3 linked regions of the Cricetulus griseus genome follow. The protein of the gene in region 3 purifies or fractionates together with the protein of the main gene of each other region. This does not show direct contact. Links are inferred from orthologs where the notes say so. Each region holds a gene or a part of one and is shown on either strand. Other genes may lie near its edges.

What was found.
Region 1: the proteins of Sox2 (region 3) and Hnrnpa3 purify together in Homo sapiens (affinity purification with mass spectrometry; 3 studies listed by BioGRID and IntAct, with this or other methods). This does not show direct contact. The link is inferred for Cricetulus griseus from reciprocal best matches to the Homo sapiens genes SOX2 and HNRNPA3.
Region 2: the proteins of Sox2 (region 3) and Ctnnb1 purify together in Homo sapiens (affinity purification with mass spectrometry; 3 studies listed by BioGRID and IntAct, with this or other methods). This does not show direct contact. The link is inferred for Cricetulus griseus from reciprocal best matches to the Homo sapiens genes SOX2 and CTNNB1.

Annotation. Positions count from the first base shown.
Region 1 is NC_048599.1:99,410,063-99,413,813, forward strand, and holds the start of Hnrnpa3 (heterogeneous nuclear ribonucleoprotein A3), read right to left. Parts: upstream 2,649-3,751; 5' UTR 2,570-2,648; coding exon 2,498-2,569; intron 389-2,497; coding exon 266-388; intron 182-265; coding exon 35-181; intron 1-34. UniProt on the Homo sapiens protein: Plays a role in cytoplasmic trafficking of RNA. Binds to the cis-acting response element, A2RE. May be involved in pre-mRNA splicing.
Region 2 is NC_048597.1:228,017,379-228,019,792, forward strand, and holds the end of Ctnnb1 (catenin beta-1), read left to right. Parts: intron 1-10; coding exon 11-71; intron 72-593; coding exon 594-802; 3' UTR 803-814; exon of another isoform or gene 815-1,233; 3' UTR 1,234-1,854; downstream 1,855-2,414. UniProt on the Homo sapiens protein: Key downstream component of the canonical Wnt signaling pathway.
Region 3 is NW_023276806.1:114,823,864-114,827,614, forward strand, and holds the start of Sox2 (transcription factor SOX-2), read right to left. Parts: upstream 2,295-3,751; 5' UTR 1,989-2,294; coding exon 1,029-1,988; 3' UTR 1-1,028. UniProt on the Homo sapiens protein: Transcription factor that forms a trimeric complex with OCT4 on DNA and controls the expression of a number of genes involved in embryonic development such as YES1, FGF4, UTF1 and ZFP206. Binds to the proximal enhancer region of NANOG.

The sequences.
Region 1 (3,751 bases), on a different chromosome or scaffold from region 3:
GTTCCATGCATTATACAACATGTTATTAAAATACCTCTCTGGAAACAGCTCTCTTTGGTTCCACCACACGCCCATCAACCTTGTGTGGCCGAGCACACATTGCAGCATCCACCTCTTCAACACAAGAGTAGGTCACAAAACCAAAGCCCCTGGAACGTTTTGTTTGGGGGTCTCTCATTACCTATAAAATAAACAAATGAAAGTATTTAAATAGTCTCATAGGTCCCCATCCCTTCCTAAGACAATCCTCACCCCAAGGACTCACCACACAGTCTGTAAGTGTGCCCCATTTCTCAAAATGTTCTCTTAAGCTATCATCTGTGGTTTCAAAGCTCAGACCACCAATAAACAGCTTCCTCAACTGTTCTGGTTCCTTTGGATCATGGCCCTGAGAAAAAAAGATCGATACAGTTTTATTTTTTCTTGAAGCAAATTGTTACAAGAGTCTCAAAATTTCTATCATTAATACTCCCAATTAAAAATCTGCTCTCTACGCTGGGCATGATAATACACACCAGTTAATTTCAGCGTTTGAGGCAGAGGCTAGCCTGGACTATGTATCCAGTTCCTAGCCATTATTAAGTATGTAGAGGGTGGGTTGTTGCCTTAAAAACAAAAAAACCCCACTACAATGGTACCCCGGGTCACTTTAAACATTATGTAACTAAACTGAACCCCAAAACAATCCCAGAGTAAAAAATAACTTTTTGAAAGCTACAAGTGTATGTTAGGGGTGTATTTCAGATGTGTGTAACAAGTCATTCACAACAAAAAAGAACCCAGGAGTCAGCATTATTCAACCCATGCCATTTTCACTATCCTCAGTCTGGAACAGCAACAAACCCGTATTTTAAAACACAATCTGTGAAATGCAACTTAAAAAGTTTGGAGTGGCAAATTGAGAGAGATTCAGATTTCCAGCACATCAGTTATCTAAGACATTCCTAGGCATATCCCACAAGAACAATACAAATCAGCGATAAGATTAGGCCCGTAGTGCTTTGAGAGGGGAGCTGCTGAGGGAGGTTCTCAAGGACAGGCTAGGCAAGACTGGGCCTTGAGGCAGTCCTACTTCAGCCTTCCACGTGCTAGGGTAACAGGTGTACATCATTACACCTAGTTGCACTACTTAGCTTTCTGTAATCAATTTAACTTGGTGGATGCCCATTTACATCATATAGTTAAATGATTTCAAACAGTACACCGATATTCACAAGTATATAATTTGAATTTGTCACATATAGCATATACCATCTGCCCAAGGAAGTAAGCACAAAACCGTATTGACTTAGAATATCTGGTATGAATTTTTCATTTGGAAGGTTTTAACATTCAAATGAATTGCTTTTAATGCACGCACTAAAACAATGCAACACAAATCCTTAAAGGAGACTCACAATCACATTTAAAAACTTCTTCAATCTTCTAAAGTAGTAATTAAAGCATTCAATACTTAAATACTGCCACATACTAGAAACACGTTAAATGATCAACTGCCCAAAGTTTTAATTCACGTAGTCCCATTTATTCAAGCCTCGGATGAACGCAATTGACAATACACAAAAACAACATCTCCGTACACACAAAAAAATCCTCGTAGTCGTGAAATTTTGACTGTGGTCGAAGTTCTCTAAAACCAAAATCCAGGAAACCACAACCGGTGCCAATCCACGAGAAATTAAATCGGTAAGATATTAAGCTCCAAATTAGCACTTATCTACACGCAAATCCTTGAAATGGTTAATCCTTCAACCACCAGACGCCATAAGCACTTTCATTCCAAACACTTGAGCGAAACTAGCGGGTTAGGAAGCACCTCAAAGCAGCAAGCATTTCAGTAATGTATCCCCAAATCAACGGTGAGAAAATCCGGCCGGAGATCTGCGCGGATTGCCGTCACCGAGGAGGCCCGAAGGCCCAGATACGCGCAGGCAGCACCCCAGCGGAAAGCACCGCGCCCCGAGGCTCGAGGCCATCTGCGGCAAAATGCCCGGCCGCCTCTCGCCGCTCCCTCCAATCCCACGCACTCCTCCTTGGCGGCGTAACCAGGCGGCGGCCATTGCGGGCCAATGCGCCATTTCGTAACGCGGCAGCGGATCAATGTCAATGTGGCCGCCGCCCGCCTGCTCGCTCGCTCGCCCGGATGTGCTCCTCCCCTCCCCCACCGCCTCCTCCCAACCGCTCCCGCGGAGGCCCGCCATGCCGCCCGCGGCCTCGCCAGTCAGGCCGCGCAGGCCTCGGGATCCTCGCCCGGCCGCGGACCACCTCCCCGGCCGCGCCGCGTCTCCGAGGGCTGCTGGTGCGGCCGACCGAGAGGGCCAGGCCGACCGAGGGCCTCGATGGGGCCGCTAGGCCCGCTCCCCTCCCCCTCCCACCGCCCTCTCAGCGCAGAGCGCGGGACGATCGTCCCGGTTTCCCCCGGCCTCCCCGCTCCCATCGAGCCAAAGCCCCCCCACGCCGGCAACTACCCAGCAACCCCCCGCTCTCCCCCTAATACCTCCTCCCCCCGGCGGCGGCGGCGACGGCCGGAGTCAGGCTGGGGGCGACCGGGCGGCGGTTTTACCTCCATTTTGAGACCGGACTCGCCTCTTCCAACTCGAGTTCAATATGGGACCGAGAGGAAGAGGCGGGGCTAGTCATCACGTGACGCGCTTTCCGCGCGCCGCCCGCCCCTCGGGGGCGGAGTCACGCCTAAGCGGAGCGCGACTGGACGGGCGGGTTGGCGGGCCGAGAGCGGCGGGTCCGGATTGGTCGAGCCGCGGGAGCGCGCGCGCCTCACCAACTTCCAACGCAGCGCCGCCCTCGCCGCGGTTCGCGCCAGGCAACGTCAGGTACGTCAGCGGCAGCTCGACCAATGGCAAGCGCCCACGTCGGGAGAAAGCCGCGTGACCGCGCGTCCGCCCAGAGAAAGGCCTATTCCCTTTCTTTTTGGCGCCTCTCGCCCCTCCCCGCGCGCTTTTGGGTCTCCATTTCCCAGTTCACCCTATTGCAGTGCCGGAAGGAAGAGCACGCTTTTCTGTCCTGCGACTTAAGGTTGCCAGAAAGCCTGCGGACCCCTTTGCCTCCCTCGCGGAATCTAAATGTTGGGGGCCCGAGGTGTGCAGAGTGTGACGGCGCCGTCCCCTTGGGAGGCCCACGCTGCAAGCCCTGCGGCACTGACGTTCCTAAGTCCCGCACGTCGCACGGGCGGGAAAATGCGGCTGACTGGATGAGACTCTCTATAGGCGACTCTCAGAGTTAAAGAATTAAGATTTTTATCAATCTGGGGGGAAGGAACGGAATCGTTTGTTTAGGGCACAGAATTTTAGAGAATGGAGCCATTTCCAAAGTTTCTTTTTTTCTTTCTTTGTTTTTATTTACTTATTTATTGGGGGGGGGGTTCGAGACAGGGTTTCTCAGAGGTTTGGAGGCTACCCTGGAACTCACTTTGAAGATCAGCCTGGCCTCGAACTCACAGAGATCCACCTGCCTCTGCCTCCGGAGTGCTGGGATTAAAGGCGTGTGCAAACTAACGCCTGGCTCCAAACTATCTAAAAAGGTTTGGTGGCCAGATAGGCTGTCTTTTACTAGTGTCTTTTTAAAATGACAGCTGTTTGAAGTTTTATTGTGAAGCACATAAATGAAATAGAAATCGAATCCTTTCTCGGCCTGGCAAAGGGATTTGAAATCATTTGGACTTTTAGATTTTCAAATAAAAGTCAACATAGGATTCGATGATCTCCCAACACCCATGACAACAGGCGTGGTATAG
Region 2 (2,414 bases), on a different chromosome or scaffold from region 3:
ACCCATTTAGACTGCTGATCTTGGCCTGGACATTGGTGCCCAGGGAGAAGCCCTTGGATATCGCCAGGACGGTATGTTATAAAGCTTTCATCCACGAGCTGGTCTACTCGTCTGAGAGCCTGGGCCTGGGGGAAGTGGTAGCTGTACTTGAAGGTGGTCCCTGAATTCCAAAGTTGCAGTATCATACTTTTGTCTTAGAGGGAGGGGTCTAGGATGGGTGGTTCATAGCTGGTCCATCAGAGCCTTCTGGACCCAGATTTGAGCAGCATAAGGTACTGCTGCCATCACCCCATCCTGGAGGCTTTATCCAAGGAACTGTTGGAGCTCTCTGGCTCCTCGTCTGCACGGTCATACGCAGTTTGCCTGCCAGGTAGGCCTCAGTCTGCTGAGTGCGCCACACGCAGGAAGTCAGGCACAGTGAACTGCTGCAGGTGTGTGGTAGTCTCTGGAGCTCTTGGAAAGCCTGGTGTTGTGTAATTACTTGGAAGAGGAGACTAGAAAGCATGTTCCTGGCAAGGTGTCCTAAACATGGCTAACCCGTCTGTCTGTCTGTCTCTCTCCTTTGCCTGTCTTGGGCGCGCTGACTCTTCCAGATCCCAGCTACCGTTCCTTTCACTCTGGTGGATACGGCCAGGATGCCTTGGGGATGGACCCTATGATGGAGCATGAGATGGGTGGCCACCACCCTGGTGCTGATTATCCAGTTGATGGGCTGCCAGACCTGGGGCATGCCCAGGACCTCATGGACGGGCTGCCCCCAGGTGACAGCAATCAGCTGGCCTGGTTTGACACTGACCTGTAAATCGACCTTTAGGTAAGCAGCTTATAAAAGCCAGTGTGGGTGAAGTACTTTACTCTGCCTACAGAACTCCAGAAAGACTTGGTGGGGTGGGAATGGTTTTAGGCCTGTTTGTAAATCTGCCACAAAACAGATACATACCTTGGAAGGAGATGTCCATGTGTGGAAGTTTTTCACTTTGATGTTTTTGCCACAGCTTTTGCAGCGTTACACTCAAGACGAGTAACATTTGCTGTTCTCAACATTAATTAATAGCAGCCTTTCTCTCTGTACAGCTGCATTGTCTGAACTTGCATTGTGATTGGCCTGTAGAGTTGCTGAGAGGGCTCGAGGGGTGGGCTGGTATCTCAGAAAGTGCCTGACACACTAACCAAGCTGAGTTTCCTATGGGAACAGTCGAAGTAAACTTTTTGTTCTGGTCCTTTTTGGTCGAGGAGTAACAATACAAATGGATTTGGGGAGTGACTCACGCAGTGAAGAATGCACAGGAATGGATCACAAGATGGCGTTATCAAACCCTAGCCTTGCTTGTTTTTTTTTTTTTTTTTTTTCTTTTGTTTTTATTTTTTGTTTTTTATTTTTTTTAATATCTGTAATGGTACTGACTTTGCTTGCTTTGAAGTAGCTCTTATTTTTTTGCAGTAACTGTTAGTTTTAAGTCTTGTAGTGTTATGTTCTAGTGAACCTGCTACAGCGATTCCTGATTTCTGAGAACTGAGTAATGGTGTAGAACACTAATTCATAATCACGCTAATCGTAATCTGGAGACGTGTAACATTGTGTAGCCTTTTGTATAAATAGACAGATAGAAATGGTCCGATTAGTTTCCTTTTTAATATGCTTAAAATAAGCAGGTGGATCTATTTCATGTTTTTGAACAAAAACTTTATTGGGGATATGTGCGGTAGGGTAAATCAGTAAGAGGTGTTATTTGAGCCTTGTTTTGGACAGTTTACCAGTTGCCTTTTATCCCAAAGTTGTTGTAACCTGCTGTGATACAATGCTTCAAGAGATACGGTTATAAAAATGGTTCAGAATTAAACTTTTAATTCATTCGCTTGTGTCACTTTGGTTTGTCCCGAGATGGTTGTTGAGGTTCGAGGAGGGGGAGTGCTTGTTCCTTCTCCAGCATCCCACCAGAGGAAGGAAGTGCATGTGTGCCAGTACCAAAGGGTTATTTATTAGTTTTAGCTCACCCTTCTTGCCTAAGAACCTAGCAGGCTTCCTGCAGTAGTCTCTGTGTTACACTGAGCAGTCACTAAAGCTGGACCCCGAATAAGCCTCCCTTTGGACAGTGTCCGTCCCACTGAGCAGTAAGGAAGCACTGCCTGGATTTGTATCAAGCATCATTGCGAGTGTGGCTCACTTGGAGAGGGCAATCTTTTCACGCCTTTGAACCAGTAATTATGTTTAAATGCTTGTGTTTATCTGAACACAATCAGAACCAGAGTGGGCTGCCTTCCGAGTGGCCTGCCAGAGCTGGCCTGGTGGTGGGTCTGATCAGCAGGCATTGTACATTTCTCACACAGACCTGTTAGCCAGCATTCCAGCCCTGTGAGGGAGGCCCTCGAAGAGATGCCAGGTAGGGGTAAGGTAACAAGGCAAGAACTGATCC
Region 3 (3,751 bases):
ATAAGGATGGTGGTATTAGTTCAAATATATACATGGATTCTCGGCAGCCTGATTCCAATAACAGAGCCGAATCTTTTAAAATACAACTACGGAAAATAAAAGGGGAAAAAAACTTAAAATATCACAATAAATTTACAGAAATATTACAAACCATAAGAAAATATTCCAAACACAGTAATTCCATATTCTTTTATCTGAACAAAATGGAAAGGTGGGACTGAACAAAAGCTTTTATAAATTACCAACGATATCAACCTGCATGGACATTTTTTTTTTTTGCCTTTAACAGTAAGTTAAAAATTTAGTACAATCTAGAACATTTGCCCTTTTTAAACAAGACCAAGAAAATAGTCTTGCCAGTATTTGCTCTCAAGTTTTCCTTTTGTACAATTTTAAAACTAAAATGTTCAAATCCGAATAAATTTCTTTCTTCCTTGTTTGTAACGGTCCTAAATTTAAGCTGCAGAATCAAAACCCAGCAAGAACCCTTTCCTCGAAAAATATTGGCAAATTCTCAGCTTATAAACAATGGACATTTGATTGCCATGTTTATCTCGATAAATACTGTACAAAAGTTGCTTGCAAATATTAAAACTTTTTTTTCCGTCGCTCGGAGTCTAGCTCTAAATATTACTGGTAAAGACTTTTGCAAACTCCCTGCGAAGCGCCTAACATACCACTAGAACTTTTAAAAAAAAAAGTTTTGCGTAGTTTCTTTCTCCAGATCTATACATGGTCCGATTACCCCTCCCTCCCGGCCGCCCTCAGGTTTTCTCTGTACAAAAATAGTCCCCCAAAAAGAAGTCCCAAAATCTCTCATAAAAGTTTTCTAGTCGGCAACACGGTTTTTGCGTTAATTTGGATGGGATTGGTGGTCTTTTCCGCAGCTGTCATTTGACTGCGGGTAATGAGATTTTTTTTCTTTCTTTGAGCATGTCAGATTTTTCTTACTCTCCTCTTTTGCACCCCTCCCAATTCCCTTGTTTCTCTTTGAAAATCTCTCCCTTTCTCAGTTCGCGCTCCGGCCCTCACATGTGCGACAGGGGGAGTGTGCCGTTAATGGCCGTGCCGGGCACCGGGCCGCTCTGGTAGTGCTGGGCCATGTGCAGTCTACTGGGAGCAGCGGGCTCCGGCACCTCGGCGCCGGGGAGGTACATGCTGATCATGTCCCGGAGGTCCCCGGCCTGGCAGGGCGCCCTGGAGTGGGAGGAAGAGGTAACCACGGGGGGGCTGGAGCTGGCCTCGGACTTGACCACCGAGCCCATGGAACCCAGCGCCATACCGGGGGTGCCCTGCTGCGAGTAGGACATGCTGTAGGTGGGCGAGCCGTTCATGTAGGTCTGAGAGCTGGTCATGGAGTTGTACTGCAGGGCGCTGACGTCGTAGCGGTGCATGGGCTGCATCTGCGCCGCGCCGTGCGCGTTGAGGCCCGGGTGTTGCGGGTAGCCCAGCTGCTCCTGCATCATGCTGTAGCTGCCATTGCTCCAGCCGTTCATGTGCGCGTAGCTGTCCATGCGCTGGTTCACACCAGCGCCCAGGCCGGCGCCCACCCCAACCCCGCTCGCCATGCTGTTCCCGCCCGGGGCCAGCAGCCCTCCGGGAAGCGTGTACTTATCCTTCTTCATGAGCGTCTTGGTTTTCCGCCGCGGCCGGTATTTATAATCCGGGTGCTCCTTCATGTGCAGAGCGCGCAGCCGCTTGGCCTCGTCGATGAACGGCCGCTTCTCGGTCTCCGACAAAAGTTTCCACTCGGCGCCAAGGCGCTTGCTGATCTCCGAGTTGTGCATCTTGGGGTTCTCCTGGGCCATCTTACGCCGCTGCCCCCGGGACCACACCATGAAGGCGTTCATGGGCCTCTTGACGCGGTCCGGGCTGTTCTTCTGGTTGCCGCCGGTCGGTGCCGCCGTGGCGTTGCCTCCTCCGCCGCCGCCCCCCGAAGCTTGCTGCGGGCCCGGCGGCTTCAGCTCCGTCTCCATCATGTTATACATGCGGGCGCTGGGCGCGGGCGCGGCCCGCCGGCGGCCGCCGACCCTCGGCCCGGCCGGGACTGCGGGGGCCGCGCGCGGGGGCCGGGCTGCAGGGGCCGCGGGCGGGGGTGTCGGCGTGCACGGCCTGCGCGGAGATCGGGCGGAGAATAGTTGGGGGGAAGCGGAGCTCGAGACGGGCGAAGTGCAATTGGGATGAAAAAACAGACGCTCTCCTCCTCGGGCCGCCGCGATTGTTGTGATTAGTTTTTGGAAAGGCTTAAGCCTCGGGCTCCAAACTTCTCTCCTTTCTTTCTCCTCTTCTTTCTCCCAGCCCTAGTCTTAAAGAGGCAGCAAAGTACTTTTCCCTTTTTGCAAACACTCTCTTCTCTGCCTTGACAACTCCTGATACTTTTTTGAACAAGTTAATAGACAACCATCCATGTGATGGGGGCTGTCAGGGAATAAATGGGTTTCCGGCGGCCAATCAGCAAGCGCCGGCTCCTGCGCCGGAGCCCAGCCTCGCCAGAGGGTTTTGCATGAAAGGGGGCGGGGCCTGCCGCGCCGCCGAGCCGAGCCCAGCAGAGCGCTGTGCCCAGAGCCGCGCGGGGGAGGCGGGCCCGCAGCCTGCAGCCGGCCGCGGGGGAACCTTTGTATCCCCCTTCCTCAGCAACAGGTCACGGCGCACGCCTGTTCGAAGGAAGTGGGTAAACAGCACCAAGACGACAGCTCCTTCCCCCCTTGCTACGGAATATTGGCTCCCTCTTGGGTACATAAGGGAGGATGGGGCGCGGGGAGCTGGGGCCAGGGTGGGGCAGGGCCCATGGGTGGTTCAGGGCGACCGTCCAACTAGTATTTCAGGAAGCTGGCAGGGCCGGAGGTGGTGTGCCATTGTTCCTCCGCTCATCCGAGGCACTGCTCTCGGTTCCAGCCCCTCTTCCTACCTTGGTGCCAACACCCCCTAACCCCCTCATCTCACAGTACAGACAAGAAGTTAGACCCAAGCCTCGGGCCCCAGTGCCCTCCTGACTTCCACGTCATCTGCTTGGTTCCCAAACAAAAGTCCTCTGCCTTTTTGGCCCACTGAAGAGCAGAGCTAGGGACAGGCCTTGTTCACAGTCTTCTAGCCTGACTCAGGTGTGGTTTAAGGAACCGCAGCACGTGTCCTCAACCCTAACTCCCTCCTCCACCAGTCTGTCCCATCCAGAGGGTGCAAAGGCAAAGCTTGAACTCTCCTCCCACTCTCTTTCTAACCCCCACCCCCCGACACAGGAGGATTTCAGTGGTGGCAGTTTCAGATGAGAGCCTGGGGACGAAAGAATCAACAGAAAGAGACTCCAGAGTGCAGCGATGGGGGGAGGGTCACGCAACTTCCTGGCATCCTACCGTGAGGCACAGAGGTGGCATTTGGGCTGTGCTCACAAACTCCCTCCCACGCAGCGTTCCCAGGATGGGAGCTGCGCTGCCGGCATTGCCCCTGCTGACTGGCACGGTGGTAGCCGTGAAGGCCCGGCCGAGTTGGTTTAGGGAAGCACTGGGGCCTGGGAGGCGCGCGGGGTTCAGAGGTACAGGTGCAAGCCAAGTGTGTAGGGATAAGGCCTGCGGAACCCCGGGAGCCGGGCCCCAGCAATCCCAGGCTGCTGGAGGATGATGGGCCGGGGCGGGGGTAGGGGCTCAAGAATCTTGCCCGCCCAAGACCCGAGAGGGTAATTTTAGCCGATCTCCCATTGTCCATACGTAAAGATTTCAATCGGCAGGCGCTCAAAAAGCCCAGAGCCACCGCACCA